2 linked regions of the Daphnia pulex genome follow. Each later gene encodes a partner of the first gene's protein in a complex. Links are inferred from orthologs where the notes say so. Each region holds a gene or a part of one and is shown on either strand. Other genes may lie near its edges.

Region 1 (7,921 bases):
ATTAGCTTGTCAGAGTGGTTGCGATGTGCGTCATGTTGTACTCGTATCACAGCCAGCTTTGATGAGCGCTACGCTCGACTTGTTGCATCAGGAAAATGTTGATTTTAACATGTCACATTGGGGGTTTTTGTCTTTTTAAAATAAAAATATAAAGCTCGCCATGTATTATGCTAACTCGGCTGATGTTTGTTTGACACCCCAAAGTTGATGTGTCGGATGGCACCGCTGCTGGGCGGTGACCTGTCGCGCCGTGTTTTCCTCGAAAGATTTGCCGCTCTGTCGGCAGACGGCCTCTTTCACGTCCGCAAGATCTGCGCTGCCAATTTCGGAGAGTTTTGTGCGGTCGTCGGTCAAGAGGTCACCGAGTCCATCCTGGTGAGTTTTTTCATTTTTCTTTTATTTTTAATTCTATTCAACCGGAAACGAGATGATGATAATTATTTAAAATGTCCTTTTCTCTCTGTTTATAACAGTTGGACAAGTTTTATGCACTGTGCCAAGATGAGCTGTGGGGTGTTCGCAAAGCCTGCGCCGAAGTCTTCATGAGCCTATCGCGCGTCGTCTCGGCCAGCAAGAGACGCAACGACCTGGGCAGTCTCTTTGTCAACCTCCTTCAAGACGAGTCGCGTTGGGTTCGAATGGCCGCCTTCCAGGCCCTGGGTCCTTTTATTTCCACCTTTTCACGGATGGAAACGGAACGCGAATCGACTTCGACTTCACTGTCGTCGTCGGCCACGGCCGAAACAGCCGAAGCCGAGCCGGTCGAATCGGATTTTAATTCTTTTTATTTCTGGAGAGACCCTCTACCGCAATTGAATTTGATGCCTCCAACCACCAACAACCAAGGCGATCCGTCGCAGCCTCTTGTCTCATCCGAGGCAGCAAACAACGAAGAGTCGGTCTCGGATAGCGTCGAAAAGGCACTAGAGGATTTGATGGCTCGTGTCGAGTTGGGCGGTGGAACAACAGCAACAACTATTGAAGCCGCTGCCGCTGCAACAACTCAACCAGCATCCGGTGAACTGGTTCCCGAGCCAGTTCACGCCTTTGACTTGAGGAGAGTAGCCTGTCAGGAATTATTAGGAGCTCCGGTGGCTGCCAGCAGTGGTAACATCGTTAGCTCACCACCCAATACCGCCGCCGATGAGGGAACCAACGATTTGTCGGCCGAGTCTAAACCGACGGCCGCCGACGGTTCGGTCCAGCCGACGTTACTCTCGTCTAGTGTCACTACCTCTTTGGCGACCGTCATGTCGTCGGCTTCGTCTCTGTTTCAACCCAATCTTCTTTTACCACCCGCCTACGTCAAGAGTAACGCCACCACGACGACCAGTGCCAACAGCAGCAGCAACGACTTGTCCACCACCACCGTCTATTCAAATTCATTTTGCCCCTATTATTCACCGCGACGGCGTTCAGACGGAGGCAGCATGAGCGGCGGTGGCATCATCGAGGCCGGCCGCTCACGACCCTACAGTCCCTACGGCTCGTCTTCCAAGCGCTCGTCCATCACCCTCAGTCAATCGGTTGTACCGCAAAATCTGATGGACTATTACCTGCAGATGACGGACCCTTATTACGTGGAGACGGTCGACGCCGAGATCACTCGCCATTGCGCCTACAGCTTGCCGGCCGTCGTCTGCACGCTGGGCAAGGAGCACTGGCCGCTGCTGCGCGATCTCTACACGACGCTGGCCTCGGACATGCAGTGGAAGGTGCGCAGGACTCTGGCGTCGAGCATCCACGAGATTGGCGCCATTTTAGGCCAAGAGGTGGTGACGCAGGACTTGTTGCCCGTCTTTGATGGTTTCATCAAAGACCTGGACGAGGTGCGCGTCGGCGTTTTGAAGCACTTGAGCGATTTCCTTGGCTTGCTGGCCGAGAAGGAGCGCCGGAGTTATCTGCCTCGCTTGGCCGAGTTCCTCAAGCTGGATAACGAACAGAATTGGCGCTTCCGTCAAGAGTTGGCCCTGCAACTGCAGTCGGTAGTGGCTCTCTTTTCGCCCGCCGACAGCGCTCAATCCATCTTGCCACTAGCCTTGACTCTGGCGTCGGATCGCGTAGCCGCCGTCCGTCTCCCTGCCTTCACACTCGTAAGTATTTTGCTTCCATCCATCCGGCCATAGCAGCAACACGATAGACACACATTTTTTTAAACTTTGTTCTTCCTTTCAGGTTAGTCAAATAATGAAGCAGGTGTCGGAAAACAGCTGGGCCGACGATGCCGAATCGATGCTCACTCCTCTTCTTGCCGACCTAACGACCCGTTTCTGCTCCGGCAATCGCTGGATGCTCCGACAGAGCTACGTCAACATCTGCAACCAGCTGGTGACGGACCGCGCTTTGCCGCTGGAAGAGTTTGGTAAACTTCTTCTGGCACCTTTGCTGGCGCTCAAACAAGACCGCGTGCCCAACGTCCGGCTCGTCTTGGCCAGAGTCATCAATTTCCAGCTCAAATATCACGGTTAGTATTATTTGTCTTTCAATTGTTTTTTTTTTTTGTTTTCAACACTTGGTGTGTGGTACTACAATGTGTTTGTCTTGAATTACCAACAGAGTTTTTCGCTGGATCAGACAGTCCGTACCGGGAATCGCTGGACGAGACGCTCAATCAACTGTCGGCCGATGAGGATCGTGACGTTTCGTACTACGCCACAGTCAAACGGAATCAGACGCAAATCAATTCATTGGATCTTCCGACGGAGGACAACAACATTGCGTGATAGCCCCAATTCAAAGAATACAAACACAAAAAAACTGTACACATTCACACACATTTGATTCTTTTTGCATGATGCCAACACAACGAAAAACAAAACTTGTCGACTCCTCCCTTCCATCCTTTTTTCCTCCTCACCTCTTCTCTTATCATCTTTGATCTCTTTCGTTTTTTAAATAATCAGCCCCCCCACTAACACAAGGGAGTTCCCCCCTATAAAAAGTCTTGGCGCGGATGAGTGTTGCTGTGTGGTGCCTTGTACAAACAAGACGATTACCTGTGTGTTGTGTAAGTAAATCACGCAATTGGTGCGGGAGACGAACGCCCCGATTTAAAAACAAATGAAATTCAAACAAAAATCAATTCATTCATGTTTCCCTCCTTTTTTTAAAAAATAAAAAAGTTTTTCCTTTTTTCTTTTGCAAGTAAAAAATCGTGTAGAGAGATGGGGGGAGGAGGGATTGTTGTACAAGTTGTTGTCCGCTATGCCCTTACTGTGATGTGGTGGTGACCGCCACCTAACCTGATTGGTAGACGGAAAAAAAAATACATCAAAATAATTTTTGCCTACGTGCAACCGCGTTCTTGTCGTTCTTCTTCTTCTTCTGGCCCCAATATCATTTGGCTCCCGAAATAATGGAAAAAATGTGCTCGCTTGGTTTAATGAAGCCATCGATAAAACAAAAGTGCAAACATCTTAATGAGGTACACACGCGAGTCGAAAAAGATTAAAAAACAAGGAGTGGCCCCCGTCTTGTGTGGGTGGGGGAGCTCGTTGTTTACTCGTGTAACAAGAGAAACGGTTCTATATTTATCAAATAAAAAAAGCTGCAACCATTTTCTTTTTTACCATTGCTCTCTCCCCTCGCCCCTTTTTTTTTAAAGAAACAGAGCCAACAGCTTTGAAAATAGATTTTCCTTAGCTGATCGTCAAGACGCGCACTGATGACGACAGACTTTAAGGGAAAAAAAAAGTTATTTTTTTTTTTTAAGGAAAAGTAAAAAAACATGAGACAAATTTTGTGGTTTTTTCTCCATTTATTTATTTTTTAAACGGAAAGACGATTCCATAGCTTCTTCCGGTTGTACTTGAATTGAAAAAGAACTTTTCCATGGGGTTTCTCACGGTTTTACGCCCATTAAGCAAGTCAGAAAAAAAGAAAAACCTCCGACACCATCACGGAATGAATAGCTAATAGAATTCATTCAATCACACCAAATTGTGTGAAAAATGAACTCGCGAGTTTATGTAAATTAAATATCAAAGTGAATAGAGATAATAGCGGGAATAGTTCCGGAGAAGAAGAAACGAATCGAGAGTGGGTGTCTGCGTACCAATCACGTCAAGGGAGCGACGATTGGCCGAAATATCTTTTCGAGACGATATTTCTATTCGAGCAGAGTTGACTCTGCTGCTGCTGCTGCTGGCGCGGTGGAGGAAACCCAAGGGAAGGGCTCCAGGTTTATTTCTGTCTTCCGACGACGCAATCACTTGGCTCGGCTAACAGACAGCACAAGCACAAGCTGCTTCTGTTTGTTGGACAAGTCGAAGCTCGAAAATATGGCGGCTCCTAGTTTTCGACAAGAGATTACCTGTCTCGGAATCCTTGGCGCAATAACTCGCAAATACATCATTTCTCTCAAGTAATTACGAGCCAGGTGAACGGCTGAACGCGTGACTCAGCTCGCCGTCACACGTAGACCCTTTTTTACGATGAGGTTTTTCGGGGGAAATAACTTTAACCAAAACCGTCAAGCAATTTGTGGCATAGAGTCGACCATTTTGGGCGTCTTCCCAAAAGAAAAAAGAAAATGTTGACTGTGGATGATGTGGCAACGCGGTGCAGAGCGGGAAAACGACTGCTGACATCTCGTTGTGACGATCAAACAACATTGAATTCTAATCTTGTCTTTACAATTTTCTTTTCATTCTAATTTTGACTTGTAATCAACTCTTGACGACTTTTATAATGCCTCACTTGCATTTTAGCTATAGTCCAAACTATTTTTCTATAGAAGACATTGTGCTTCAAGATGTCAGGGTGTCTTGCAAATTCGAAGTGGCTGTTCCCAAGTTAGGTAAACAATAGCTTGTTTATTAGATTTTAAGTTTATTGGTTTTTAAATAGTTAATCATGTAATTAAGCTGATTACAAAGTTATATCTCCTTTTCTTCCAATTCAGGTATGCTTGATCAGTCGGCTGACGATGAAAACCTCAAACAAGGAAGCAAAGTAGAATTGCCGTTCTGGATGGTACCCACCCTTCATGCCAAAAAAATTGTAACACTTGAAATTCCAAGGCACTACAAAGTCAATTACAGGTAGTTAAATATCTTGACAAAGTTTCGTTTTCTGGATTAAATCCAATTTCACTTCCAAATTCTATAGACAGATCCTCCAGGCAGACAGTATAGTTGTTGACCTCCACAAATGGGGACCCTATTTCTATGATCTGGGACTTCATGTGGCAAATCTTGAATTAAAGGATTCTCTTGATATCAAGAGGAGCCTGGTTGAGGTTGATTACCCAAATTCTGTTTGCATATAACTTTCTCTAACTACTACAAATTTTTGTGTGCAGACCCTTCGTAACCGTTTGAGACAAATTATGGACATGTCTCAACATTCCACACACCACGAAACAGTACACATAATTGCAAACTTGGATGAATTAGAAAGAAAGTTGTTTGGAGTGGGTCAGTTGAGTTACAGAAGCTACAAGGTATTCATTAATATAGATTTTGATGCATCATTTCTCTATTGTTTTTGTAATCACTTTTGCTTCAATAGGAATGGGTCCGAAGAGAATCCAGCAAGATCAACACAGCTACTCTAGTAGCCAGTCACAGAAAGAGAAAATTTGCAGAAGTGACTGTTTAAGATTCAATTACCAGTTTGTCAGATGTATTTGGCCCCTATCTAATTAACAATTATATTGAGCAACTATGAAGTTCGACACAGTCAATCAGAAGCAATTAACTCGTTTGTTTTTAATAGAAATGACGCACATTTGAATGGAAAAAAAACCCCTGATGGTAGCAACACGATGGATATGTTGAGTCCCTGTTATAGTAATTGTGCTACTCATCTTTGGAAAATATTTGCCGCGCAATTCTCAAATCGAATAGATTATCTCTTAAAACTTTAACTTAACAAAACAAAACCCTTTTTTTCTCTTTTTTTATCATTTTTCTTTCTTTTTGTAAAATTCGGGAACGGTCAAGTATCTATGTGTACGCATTGTCCATTCCTTCCGTCACCTCTTGTTTGAAAGGCTGGTGGTGGTGATTGGACAATCCTCCCAAGGGAAAGGCGTCATCCTCAGAGTCTGGAGACATGGTCAGCGGTGGTCCACGGTCCATCATCATGGACTGATGCCCACCTAATCCGTTTTGCCCATTCAGGAGAGGAAGAGTTGTAAGAGATGGACCCGTTGAGTGTGTGGGAGACGAATCTGCTGAAAGTGGAGCCATTGCGGTCAGTGCAGATGGGACCACAACGGGCGGATTGTACCCGGACGAAGGGGCAGAATTGTTTGCATTACCAACCGATTCAAGTGAAGCTCCTTCAAATGTTGGTAAGATTGTGTGTTTAATCGATCGTTAACCAATTCAAATAACTGTTTTTTTTTTTCAAATTCTATTAATACCTCCTAGAAGCATTTCCTGTAGCAGAGAATCGATGCGGGTCACTCCAAAGTATCTGGCTTGCTGGATCTGCTCAATCATTTGCCAAGCAACTGACTGGAGTGGCGGCAAGGCCAGCAGCAACTCGCCGAACCGACCTCGACTTGCGTACTGTCGATCGGCCACGTAGTCTTCCAGCAACTGTTGAATCTGGTAGCGAATCCCTTTTACCCTGGCCGGCTCTCCCAGACCTTTTGCATCTGGTGCCATCCCAAAGGCTCACGTCAGACTCAAGATTCAAATAGTAAGTTGGCAATCGACGTTTTTTTATTACTAGGATCGAAGAAGACGATGGCCTTGAGGCAGGTGTACTCCGTATCATCCATTTGAATATCTCGTAGAGGTTTCACAATCTCGTCCATTATTCGAATGCCAATATGGTAAATCTCGATCTCTGCATGTTTGCCAAATAGGAATCATTAACAACATCTTTTGGCAATAAGGCAGCTAGTGTTAACCTCCAAGTCCAGCCGATTGTCTGGGCATGATGGAATCGTTGCCCAGTAGAAGAATGTCTCTTAAATGCATAGATCTTCGAGCAACTCCCAAAACGAGGTTTTCTGCCGCGTGGGCCCTCAATAACGCCACCTTGAAATTCGAATTCGACATCATCAAATTGGCTAAAAACGAAATTTTTTTTAAAATGTGTCTACCTGATCATCCAGTGGCAATTCGCTGAAAACGGGGATGTATTTGGCCCATTCGACCAAGAAGAGCAACTGCTGTTTCATTGATTCGCAAACGTCGTTGATGGTAGCCATCCGTTTGCTGTTCAAATCGTAATCGTTGACGGCTGAGAGCTGATTTAAATACAAATTTTCACACTAGAAAGGAAAGAGTTGATCGGGAGAGGGACAAGGAAAAAAATCGCAGCACATTCGCACAGATTTTTTTTATTTTTCGCAAGAGAGTGAATGATAGTAGTGTGTGTGTGTGTGAGAGAAAAAAGATAGAAACGAGAAGAAAAAAAATTGATCAAACTTGAGCAAACTGTTAGTGAAATTATGAGGCGGTTGTAGGTCAGTTAAAGATGCGATAGAAGGAAATGGGCGACAAACGGACAATTGACAAGCAAGCGATTCCCAACAAAGAGTTGGGAATTTTTATAAGGTTATAATTCAGATTTAAGGGGTTTGACGAATAGAAATCAAGTAACCAAATTTTTACCTGTCGGCTCATGGTTTCGGCATTGATGAGAACACTTATGGTCAACCCATTGGCAGAAACCGGTTCTTCGTAACTCGGTCGACGACTGCTGATTCGATCTCGTTCGTTTTGAACGGCTGTTGTGACACACAAAACGATTGTATATTGAATGTTATTTGACACTTTTTTATTTTTCTAGCCAGTTATACCTTCTTTCTTCATGCCAGCTTTGAAGCATTTGCCAAGCCGGCAATAGCGGCATTGATTCCGTTTATCTTTGTCTACCACGCAATGACGATTGAACCTATTGGATGAAGAAAGTTTTGAAATGCTTTTAAAAATTTGTAATTATTAATGATTAGATACCG
Region 2 (8,895 bases), on another chromosome or scaffold:
AATGAATCATCTTCTACATTGAAAATTGCCGAACCGCAATGTCGTTCCGTTCCGGTCGCGGATGCGTTGCCACAACGCAGCCATAAGCAGCGTGCAAGCAGCCCTGTGGATAAAATTGTTCCTCCTTTGTTCGTCATTTTTTTTTCCCCTACTGCTTTATCTGGATGGCTGTGCTTGGTCGGAACGACTTGTATACACCAATGAACCGTTTACTTTCCTCGGGAAAACCCTAACAATAGTCAGCCAGCCCAAGGCAATGCTGATGATCGCCATGGCCAGCAGCGTTTGAAGTGAACGACAAATTGCATGCACAAGTTTCTCACCTTTGTTATTCTTCAAACGTGATGGCGCATTTGACCACAAGTACCAGTAATAACTGCTTTAATCCTGATGTGTATTGCAACGTCATGGTCAAACTCTGCTAAATAAGAACAAGTTTAAATACCATCAATGCCACACAGTTTTCACAAAAGAGAGAGATTGCAAAGCAAAACAGTGCATTAATGGCAATCAGATTCAATTCACTTTTATTTTTAGTTTAGCAAATCGATAAGAGAAGCTTTTACACCGCAAACATCTTATACTGTTTCGTGAATCTTTTTCGGTACTTTTCTCACGGTCCGCCAACTCGTCCGCCAAACGGCGACTTTAACGACCGTCTCCCTTTCGTCACCAGCAGCGCTAGTGCCGCTTAATAATGCAGTCTGATGAGATAATAACTTGAGTTTATGTTTGGTTTATTAAACAATTAATTTGGAAACGAGTAGAAATTCGAGTCAAGTACATCTCATTTAATCTACCTCGTTACTTTCAACAATTTTGTATCCGTCCTTCATGTATAACCTAAATTGCGTTGCACTAGTTAATATTTAAACTGACTCAAATTAGTCCTTCAAAACCACATTAGAGGACAGCTAAAATAATTCCCCCTTTTTGAATACGACTCCGGTTTTTCTGCTCTAAACTGGTTTAAAGAACGTTGGTGGTCTTTACACCACCGAAAACTGGTTTAAACATCCGGGTGTTAATTTTGGATATCAATTTGGTTAGTGACATTCATGAATTTATTCACAATCGTCGGACGGAATAACAAAAATATACTTTTGATTTTAGAAAAAGAGATAAGGCGACCGAAATCAGTCGCCTTGTCGTTGGGTGTTGTGTAAAACGTTACGAAAGAAAACAATAACAAATTTTATTTTTATTTTTATTTATTGAAATTTAAACCTGTAATGCGACAGTACATACAGATGGCGATGAATTTTAGTTTCTGAAATGTGTCTTGATTTAAACTGGCGGTTTGTAAGGCCGGACACAATCTATGGCGAATACCAACGGTAAGAAAGGCGGAATGCCTGGACCTTGAGGATGTTCGATGCCAAATTCCAATTTGCTGCTGCTGGGAGAGATGAATGTCGTGTCAAGGATCGGATCGCCCGGGAAATATTCGGCCATAGAATTGAGCGATGGCAAAGACACGAATGGAACGGAACGAATCCAATTATCCGACTGCAGCTCATCCGAATTATTAAGCGAAAAGATCCAGTTCGCACGCATCGGCTTTCCGTTGACATAATGTTTGAAAACCATTGAACGGCCGTTTAACTTCCGTGTTCCATAGTTGAGCATGAGAGCTCTTCGAGCGTCATCTGGTTGGCGGAAAGTGATCTTGGCTTTTCCGTTTAAGAATCCCTTGTCATCAAGACACATACCAACAGACTGAACCGGACCAACCCACTCTTCAAAGTAGTCCAATATTTGTTTCCCGGTGGTCGAGTATTGCAAGTTCGAAACAAACAAATATTCCTCGCGTACGCTGATGTCAGACTGCGGGGATTCGTGGCATAGTGGGATAGAATCCTGTGTTACTTCCGGTTCTTGTGACTGGTGGAATTGGCCATTATTCTGAAAATCTTGGTAGATGACGTAATCAGTTAAAGGTGTGTACGAACGATTCTCCAGTGAAGTTGGCTTGGAAGTTGGCAACAGGGTTGAATAAACTGGGCCAGGGATTACGATTTGATCCTTATACACACGTTTCTGGTTCACGAAGAGTTTGATATTCATTCGACGACCGCCCAACTTTGTTCCGTCGTAGAAGAGGGCTTTCCGGGCATGATCTGGCTGGTGGAAATATATTGCGGCTTTGCACATATAGTGGCCATCTGCGTTATGGTGCTTTGTAAGACAATCGACCGGTCCGACGTATTTTTCGAAAAAGTTGACAATTTCTTGCTCGGAAGTCTCACGAGCCAAATTGGTGATCCACACCATTTCGACATCTTTCACTGCTTCAATCGATTCCTGAAGAACAATTTCCTTTTGGTTTGTCATTTTCAAATCGTCGTATGTTTGACTTTTTGAGAAAACACTCTAAACTGAGCATGGTCATTGTAAGTCATGGTGTGAACTTATATGGGCACCGGGATCCGGAAAAACATCTGCAACTACCTGGCGAGATTTATTTTCTGATTTATAAATTGAACGCATTAGTTAACGAAAATGATTTCCGTCTATTTACAATTTTGAAGTTATTACCCATATTATTCATTCAAATGAAATACAAATTTTCCCTTAAATAAGAATAATAAACCAAATATAATGATCGAAAATTGATAATCAGTCAGAGGATCAGTAAACAATCCGCCAGGTAATTATTATTAGGTATGTCGGTATCCACTAATTTGGCCTGCAGGCCTGGCAAGAGACAAATATACACAATAAAAAAATTTGGTTAGTTCAATACATTTTTCTGTAAACATTTTATTATTTTTAAAACATTTTTAAAAAGTCGAAAACTCGGAAAATCACATTTGAATTTCAGATTTTCTTTGTTTTTTTTCTTTGTGCCTGACAACGTCGCAATCTTTCTCATTGCCATTTTCGCGCCAGAATTTCGTTGTCTGCTCATTCTGCGTGTTTGTTCTTGCACGAAAAGTGGTGATCAAAGTTTTATCCCTATTTTTCCTTTGATTATCTTAAACTATGGATGTTGCAGGTGCTCAACAAGTACAAAATAAACTCAAGGATGATGTTGCTCAAAGGTGTCAAAAATTGTTCTTGGATTTCCTTGAAGGGTAAGTGTACAAAGCTGTTCATGAATGATTGATACATGCTTAGCTGGGTGATGCAAAAACTTTCTTTCTCTAGTTTTGAAGTTGATGGTGAAGTAAAGTACTTGGAAAAGGCTAAAGAACTTGTAAAACCAGAAAGAAATACACTTCAAGTCAGCTTTCAGGATGTCGAGAAATATAACAGCAATTTGGCTGTCACAATCGTGGCTGAATATTACCGGTATTGTTCCTTACTATGACATTTCTGAACAACTTGAACATTAATTGATGTCTTTTATACATTTAGTGTTTACCCTTTCATTTGCCAAGCTGTTTATTCCTATGTGAGAGATAAGGCTGATTTCAATGTGGAGAAAGAACTGTACATCAGCTTTGTTGATGTCAGCTCAAAATACAAGGTCAGAGACTTGAAGACAGCTAGCATTGGCTCGCTCTTTCAGATATCTGGCCAAGTTATTCGTACCCATCCAGTTCATCCAGAATTGGTCAGCGCTACCTTTGTTTGCCTAGATTGTCAAACAGTCATTAAGGATGTAGAACAACAGTTCAAGGTAAGGTAGAAACACATTTATTTTTATTCAAATTTTTTTTAATGATTTTATTTTGCAGTACACACAACCTTCTATTTGCCGCAACCCTGTCTGCTTCAACAGAAGTCGATTCATGCTAAATGTTAACAAGTCCCGGTTCGTTGATTTTCAAAAAGTTCGAATTCAGGAAACGCAAGCAGAACTCCCTCGAGGATGTATTCCACGCAGGTAACTTCAAAGTGTTGAATTACTCATGACTAGTAAAGTGTACGCCAATCTGTTTAGTGTTGAGGTTATTCTACGAGCTGAAGCAGTGGAAACAGCGCAAGCTGGTGATAAGTGCGATTTCACTGGAACTCTTATCGTTGTCCCTGATGTCGGTTCTATCTCTGTACCTGGTGCTCGAGCGGAAAGTGGATCACGGAAAACTGGTGAAGGTCCGGAAACTGAAGGTGTCCGCGGACTGAAAAATTTGGGTGTCAGGGACCTAAACTACCGACTGGCTTTCTTAGCTTGCAGTGTTACCCAAAGCAACCCCATGGTAAGTCAAGTTTATCGATAAAAATGATATTTAAATGGTAACCCTGTTGGTTTATTATTAGTTTGGTGGTAAAGACTTGCATCAAGAGGAAATGACAGCAGTTGATATCAAAAATCAAATGTCAGAGCAAGATTGGAACCGTATCTACAATATGACACAGGACGTTAATTTGTACGACAATTTGATCAAAAGTCTGTTTGCCACCATTTACGGAAACGACGAAATCAAGCGAGGTATTCTACTAATGCTCTTTGGCGGTGTTCCCAAAAAAACCGTTGAGCATACTACGTTGCGTGGAGACACCAACGTCTGCATAGTTGGCGATCCCAGTACAGCAAAGTCGCAGTTTTTAAAGCAGGTAATTTCGGCAACAGTTTTCTTCCTCCTTACTTTTATTGTTATTATAATTTCTTTTACATCCAGGTCGCCGAATTTACCCCTCGTGCAGTTTACACTTCTGGTAAAGCATCCAGTGCAGCTGGTTTAACAGCTGCTGTGGTACGAGATGAAGAATCGTATGAATTCGTTATCGAAGCGGGAGCACTCATGTTAGCAGATAATGGTGTCTGTTGCATTGACGAGTTTGACAAGATGGATCCTCGCGATCAAGTTGCTATCCACGAAGCCATGGAACAGCAGACCATCTCCATCACCAAGGCCGGAGTCAAAGCAACACTTAACGCTCGAGCTTCAATCTTGGCTGCAGCCAATCCCATTGGAGGACGATACGACCGAACAAAATCCCTGAAACAGAACGTGATGATGACCGCGCCCATTATGTCTCGTTTTGATCTCTTTTTCATCTTAGTTGATGAGTGTAATGAAGTCGTCGACTATTCCATCGCCCGTAGCATCGTCGATCTTCACAGGAGAAACGTTGAATCGATTGAACGAGTGTACCAGACTGAGGATATCCGACGCTACATAACATTCGCCCGTAAATTCCAACCGAAGCTCAGTAAAGAAGCGGCTGACTATCTGGTTAACGCCTACCGCCAACTTCGTCAACGTGATGGTGGTTCAACCTCGTCAGCCTCAAGGATTACTGTTCGCCAATTGGAAAGCTTGATTCGTTTGTCAGAGGCGATGGCTCGCATGTATTGTCTGAGTCTGGTCACAAAAGACCATGTTAAAGAAGCTTATAGGCTCCTGAACAAATCCATCATCCGCGTTGAAGAGCCCGATATTGATTTGGAAGATGCTGAACAGCCAGATCTGTCGGTAGAGGAAGAAGAAACGAATGGCGTTCCTTCCAGTGAAGATGTTGACAAGCAAAAGGGAGCTAGTGGTGAGTCGGTTGATCCCACCGTGCAGAAGAAAAAGATATCCATCACCTTCGAGAGCTACAAAGCTATTTCAAACTTGCTCGTTATGTATTTACGACGCCAAGAGGCCTTGGATGAAAGTAAGCTCGCCATCTAAAACGCTTGTAACAAGATTATTTATTTAATAACAAATTCTTTTCTCGTTACAGCCGAAAGCTCGCGTAAAAGTGCGCTCATCAATTGGTATTTAAACGAAATTGCTGATGAGATTGAAACGGAACAAGAACTAACCGAGAGAAAACTTTTGGTTGAACGTGTCGTCAGTCGCCTTATATATCAGGTAATATTTATATTTTAATAATTACAAATAATTGGAATTAATAATTTCGTTTTTCTTTTCAGGACCAAGTTATCATTCCATTAAGTCGAACTGGATTAGCTGGTAAGGAAGAAGTAGCTGAAGATGAGGATCCTCTCCTTGTTGTGCACCCCAATTTTGTTCTTGAATAAGTACTCGCTCCTTTTCTTACTTTTCTTGCGCATACATGATATTTACTTAATCTCAGTGGTCATCCATCATTTACAAACTTAAAAGAAACAACAGATTTAAAGTTATAAATGGGGGATTTGTCAAAAAAATCTCTCAAATAGTTGTCATAATGCATCAATCATTAGTTGTTGGGTTCTTGCCACCAATTAAGTTATTACGATGTTTCTGACGAAAAATTTTGCTTGCGTTGAATTCTCAGATGCTCGGACTTTCTGTATCTTGACCAAAGCATATTTCGAATTTCATAAACATTGAAAAGTACCTGGGTAGAACAAACTTGGGTTGTATGATGGGAAAGAAGGATAAGGAAAACACTTCTAATATAGAATTTCTAGTATCGAACGTTGTTTAGGTGTGAAACTAGTATTAAAAACTTTTGAAATAAAGTCTGAAGTGGGTTATTTTCACTAATTCAATTTAAACGTAATTTTTCTGGTTAATTGACATCGCATCTGACATTTTTTTTTAATGGGAAGCTCAATTTCCTTAACTCGTCATGTGATAGTCATGTTTTTTGCTTTTTGTTATTCAACTTTTGACGGTAATTAGTATTCCGCTGTAGACGGCCAATCCTATTATCACTTAAATTGCGGGGCCGCTTGTGTTTTATCAATTACTCGAAAGTAGATTTCGACCAATTAATTTTATATCCTTGTTTATTTTTACGATGGTGCGTGTCGAGACTTTAAACTCAACTCTGGAATGTTTAAACATCACATGCTTCGATTTGAATAGCAGAAGCAGATCTTGTGAATCGCCTGCGTTGGTATTCAGGTGGCCTACCATCTGGAGCTTTGACTAATCTTTCACGTCCAGTCCCACTGCTCACAGCTAGAAACATCGAACTCGTAACGACAAAAGGAATTGTCAAAATCGGCAATCCAGCCTAAATATTATGACATTACATTATTATTATTAAGATTTTTATACTTAGGCTTATCATCAGACTCATGTGATTAATTTGCCCTTTGAAATTCCGACAAGACTAACACATAATGACTCAAACTTTGCAGTAGTTTTCCACGTACCGTTGCCAGAACAAGACCGAACGCGCGTTGAGCGGCTGCGGTGAAGACTACGGCCATGGCTGCGTTGAAAGCCGAGAGCATTGTCGGGACGTAAAATGTAACCGCAATAGCTCCTGCAGTCAGTGCAGAATTATAACCCCAGAGACCGGAATAGATTGCCGCGTAGTTTTCAGTAAGTCCAAGAGCTGAGTGATTCCCGAATTAATCAATTAACTAATTTAGGTAGGAGTCTATGCAACTTACCACAAACTGAAGCTAATAGAGAACCGCTGAAGAGAGCAATCGAAAGCATTGGCGAAAAAATTGTTATTCCAATGTACATGATGATTGAACAGACGACACTTTCGGCCGCGTAAACTTGGCCCATTGAAAGTAAGCTACCACGTAATACCTTTTGCATAAAAATTAATTCAGTGGGTTAGCGTGAGCTAAGCTTTATAATCTTAAATTATACTTTGAAATTCTTGTCGCTATCTTACCATTATCCAATCTAGCGAAACTGTCGAGTTTACTGGTAGTGTTTCATTAATAGAAGCAGCCAACTCGAGAGTTGTAGCATTATCTGCAGTAGCAAATGTTGCTAGATGCGTCAGACTCGAAGGCAAACATATAAACATAAGTAGATCAATGAGATTGAAGGGAACCGTCATCGGTGGGAGTGATACGCCTTTGCACAAATTGGCCATTCCAGATGTGACCAACGTACTACAAAACACACGACGCAAATAAAAAATAATTACTCCATTTTCATCATTCCAATAAGGAAGAATTAAACTGACCTCATAACTCCACCGAATCCTATTAAACACCTATGTTTGTTGCAATAACATTGCAATATTTAGCAATCAAGTTCTTCGTTGTTAAGCGAAAGAGATTTTTTAAATTTGATTTGTTTGTTTGTTATTTTTACCAAGAAAGGTAAGTAGGTCCATGAGTTGCTGCAACGATGGGTGGGCAAATGCTGGCCGTCACTGTTCCCACTAAAACACCGTTGTAGGTAACCAATCCATTACTGATTGAACTCCAAGGTTGGTTAAACACCTAAGTAAAAGTGATTCCACATCTTAGTTACTAATTAATTGAAGTTCGTATTTTTTCATGCTCTTATTTGCAATGGATATGTTTAGGCTAATAAGAAAGCGGAAGTAAGAGAATTCCAAGCTTACCGAGGCCGTGACCGTAGCTAAGGTAGCGGCTAAAAGTCCAGCAGCGCAGACCCAAATATCAGCCACCGCCAAGCCGATGATGACAAAAATTCCACTTATGGTATTGTTGGCGAAGACTACCTGTTGAAGAAATCACAAGAATAAGACGGTCCATAAGATCCTGAAAGAGGAATGGGAACTGGACCTGAGAGAAACCTCGGAGGATGCCATCAAGAAGTTTTATCACCAGCCACAAGGATCGATCGGATTTTTTTTCTAAAAAGTGGTGGACAAGGCGGCATTCACCAAGAATTTCAAAAAGCGGATTCGCTTTCTTAGTTCCGTCAACCTGTAGTAATTGGAATTACGTAAAAAATTCAGTGTTATTAAAAAATATCGGGAAGTATTTACTGCGGGAAAGCTGTTTGTCCGTCGCACTTTACTGCCCATGTTGAATAGACGAATGCCATAACCCAGTCGCCCTTTTTATAATTTACCAAGACCGCGCGACAGGGGCAAATGAGGGTCGTGCCCTTGTTCAATCTTTTGCTTTACGTAATCGTGTTGTAGAATACGTGATTTCTATACTGAAGATGATGTCACTTACTTTTATGCCTTGTCACGTATTTATTACATAGTTCAAACTTCGCATGAACTAATATTAACCTTAAACTTATTTTAGCCACAACATTCATGTTTCAACCATTTAGAACGTTGTCACAGTGAGACAACTCGGAACCAAAAACAGGACACCAATCGAGT

Evidence for each region.
Region 2: DNA replication complex GINS protein PSF3-like (region 1) and zygotic DNA replication licensing factor mcm6-B-like share a complex: the UniProt entries of both Homo sapiens proteins name them as parts of the CMG helicase complex. The link is inferred for Daphnia pulex from reciprocal best matches to the Homo sapiens genes GINS3 and MCM6.

What each region holds. Positions count from the first base shown.
Region 1 is NC_060022.1:869,154-877,074, forward strand, and holds DNA replication complex GINS protein PSF3-like, read left to right. Parts: upstream 1-4,666; 5' UTR 4,667-4,689; coding exon 4,690-4,798; intron 4,799-4,903; coding exon 4,904-5,042; intron 5,043-5,109; coding exon 5,110-5,239; intron 5,240-5,302; coding exon 5,303-5,443; intron 5,444-5,511; coding exon 5,512-5,601; 3' UTR 5,602-5,869; downstream 5,870-7,921. Other genes in the region: serine/threonine-protein phosphatase 4 regulatory subunit 1-like, read left to right, coding at 205-375, 474-2,093, 2,176-2,464, 2,557-2,723; hepatocyte nuclear factor 4-gamma-like, read right to left, coding at 5,949-6,286, 6,371-6,607, 6,682-6,801, 6,866-6,995, 7,061-7,231, 7,575-7,690, 7,763-7,857, 7,920-7,921. UniProt on the Homo sapiens protein: Required for correct functioning of the GINS complex, a complex that plays an essential role in the initiation of DNA replication, and progression of DNA replication forks.
Region 2 is NC_060017.1:7,925,278-7,934,172, forward strand, and holds zygotic DNA replication licensing factor mcm6-B-like, read left to right. Parts: upstream 1-2,881; 5' UTR 2,882-2,985; coding exon 2,986-3,077; intron 3,078-3,150; coding exon 3,151-3,294; intron 3,295-3,360; coding exon 3,361-3,625; intron 3,626-3,683; coding exon 3,684-3,832; intron 3,833-3,889; coding exon 3,890-4,145; intron 4,146-4,206; coding exon 4,207-4,503; intron 4,504-4,568; coding exon 4,569-5,550; intron 5,551-5,619; coding exon 5,620-5,750; intron 5,751-5,812; coding exon 5,813-5,920; 3' UTR 5,921-5,970; downstream 5,971-8,895. Other genes in the region: urea transporter 2-like, read right to left, coding at 6,667-6,846, 6,989-7,173, 7,232-7,379, 7,468-7,693, 7,768-7,797, 7,899-8,029, 8,155-8,274, 8,339-8,482 and 1 more. UniProt on the Homo sapiens protein: Acts as a component of the MCM2-7 complex (MCM complex) which is the replicative helicase essential for 'once per cell cycle' DNA replication initiation and elongation in eukaryotic cells.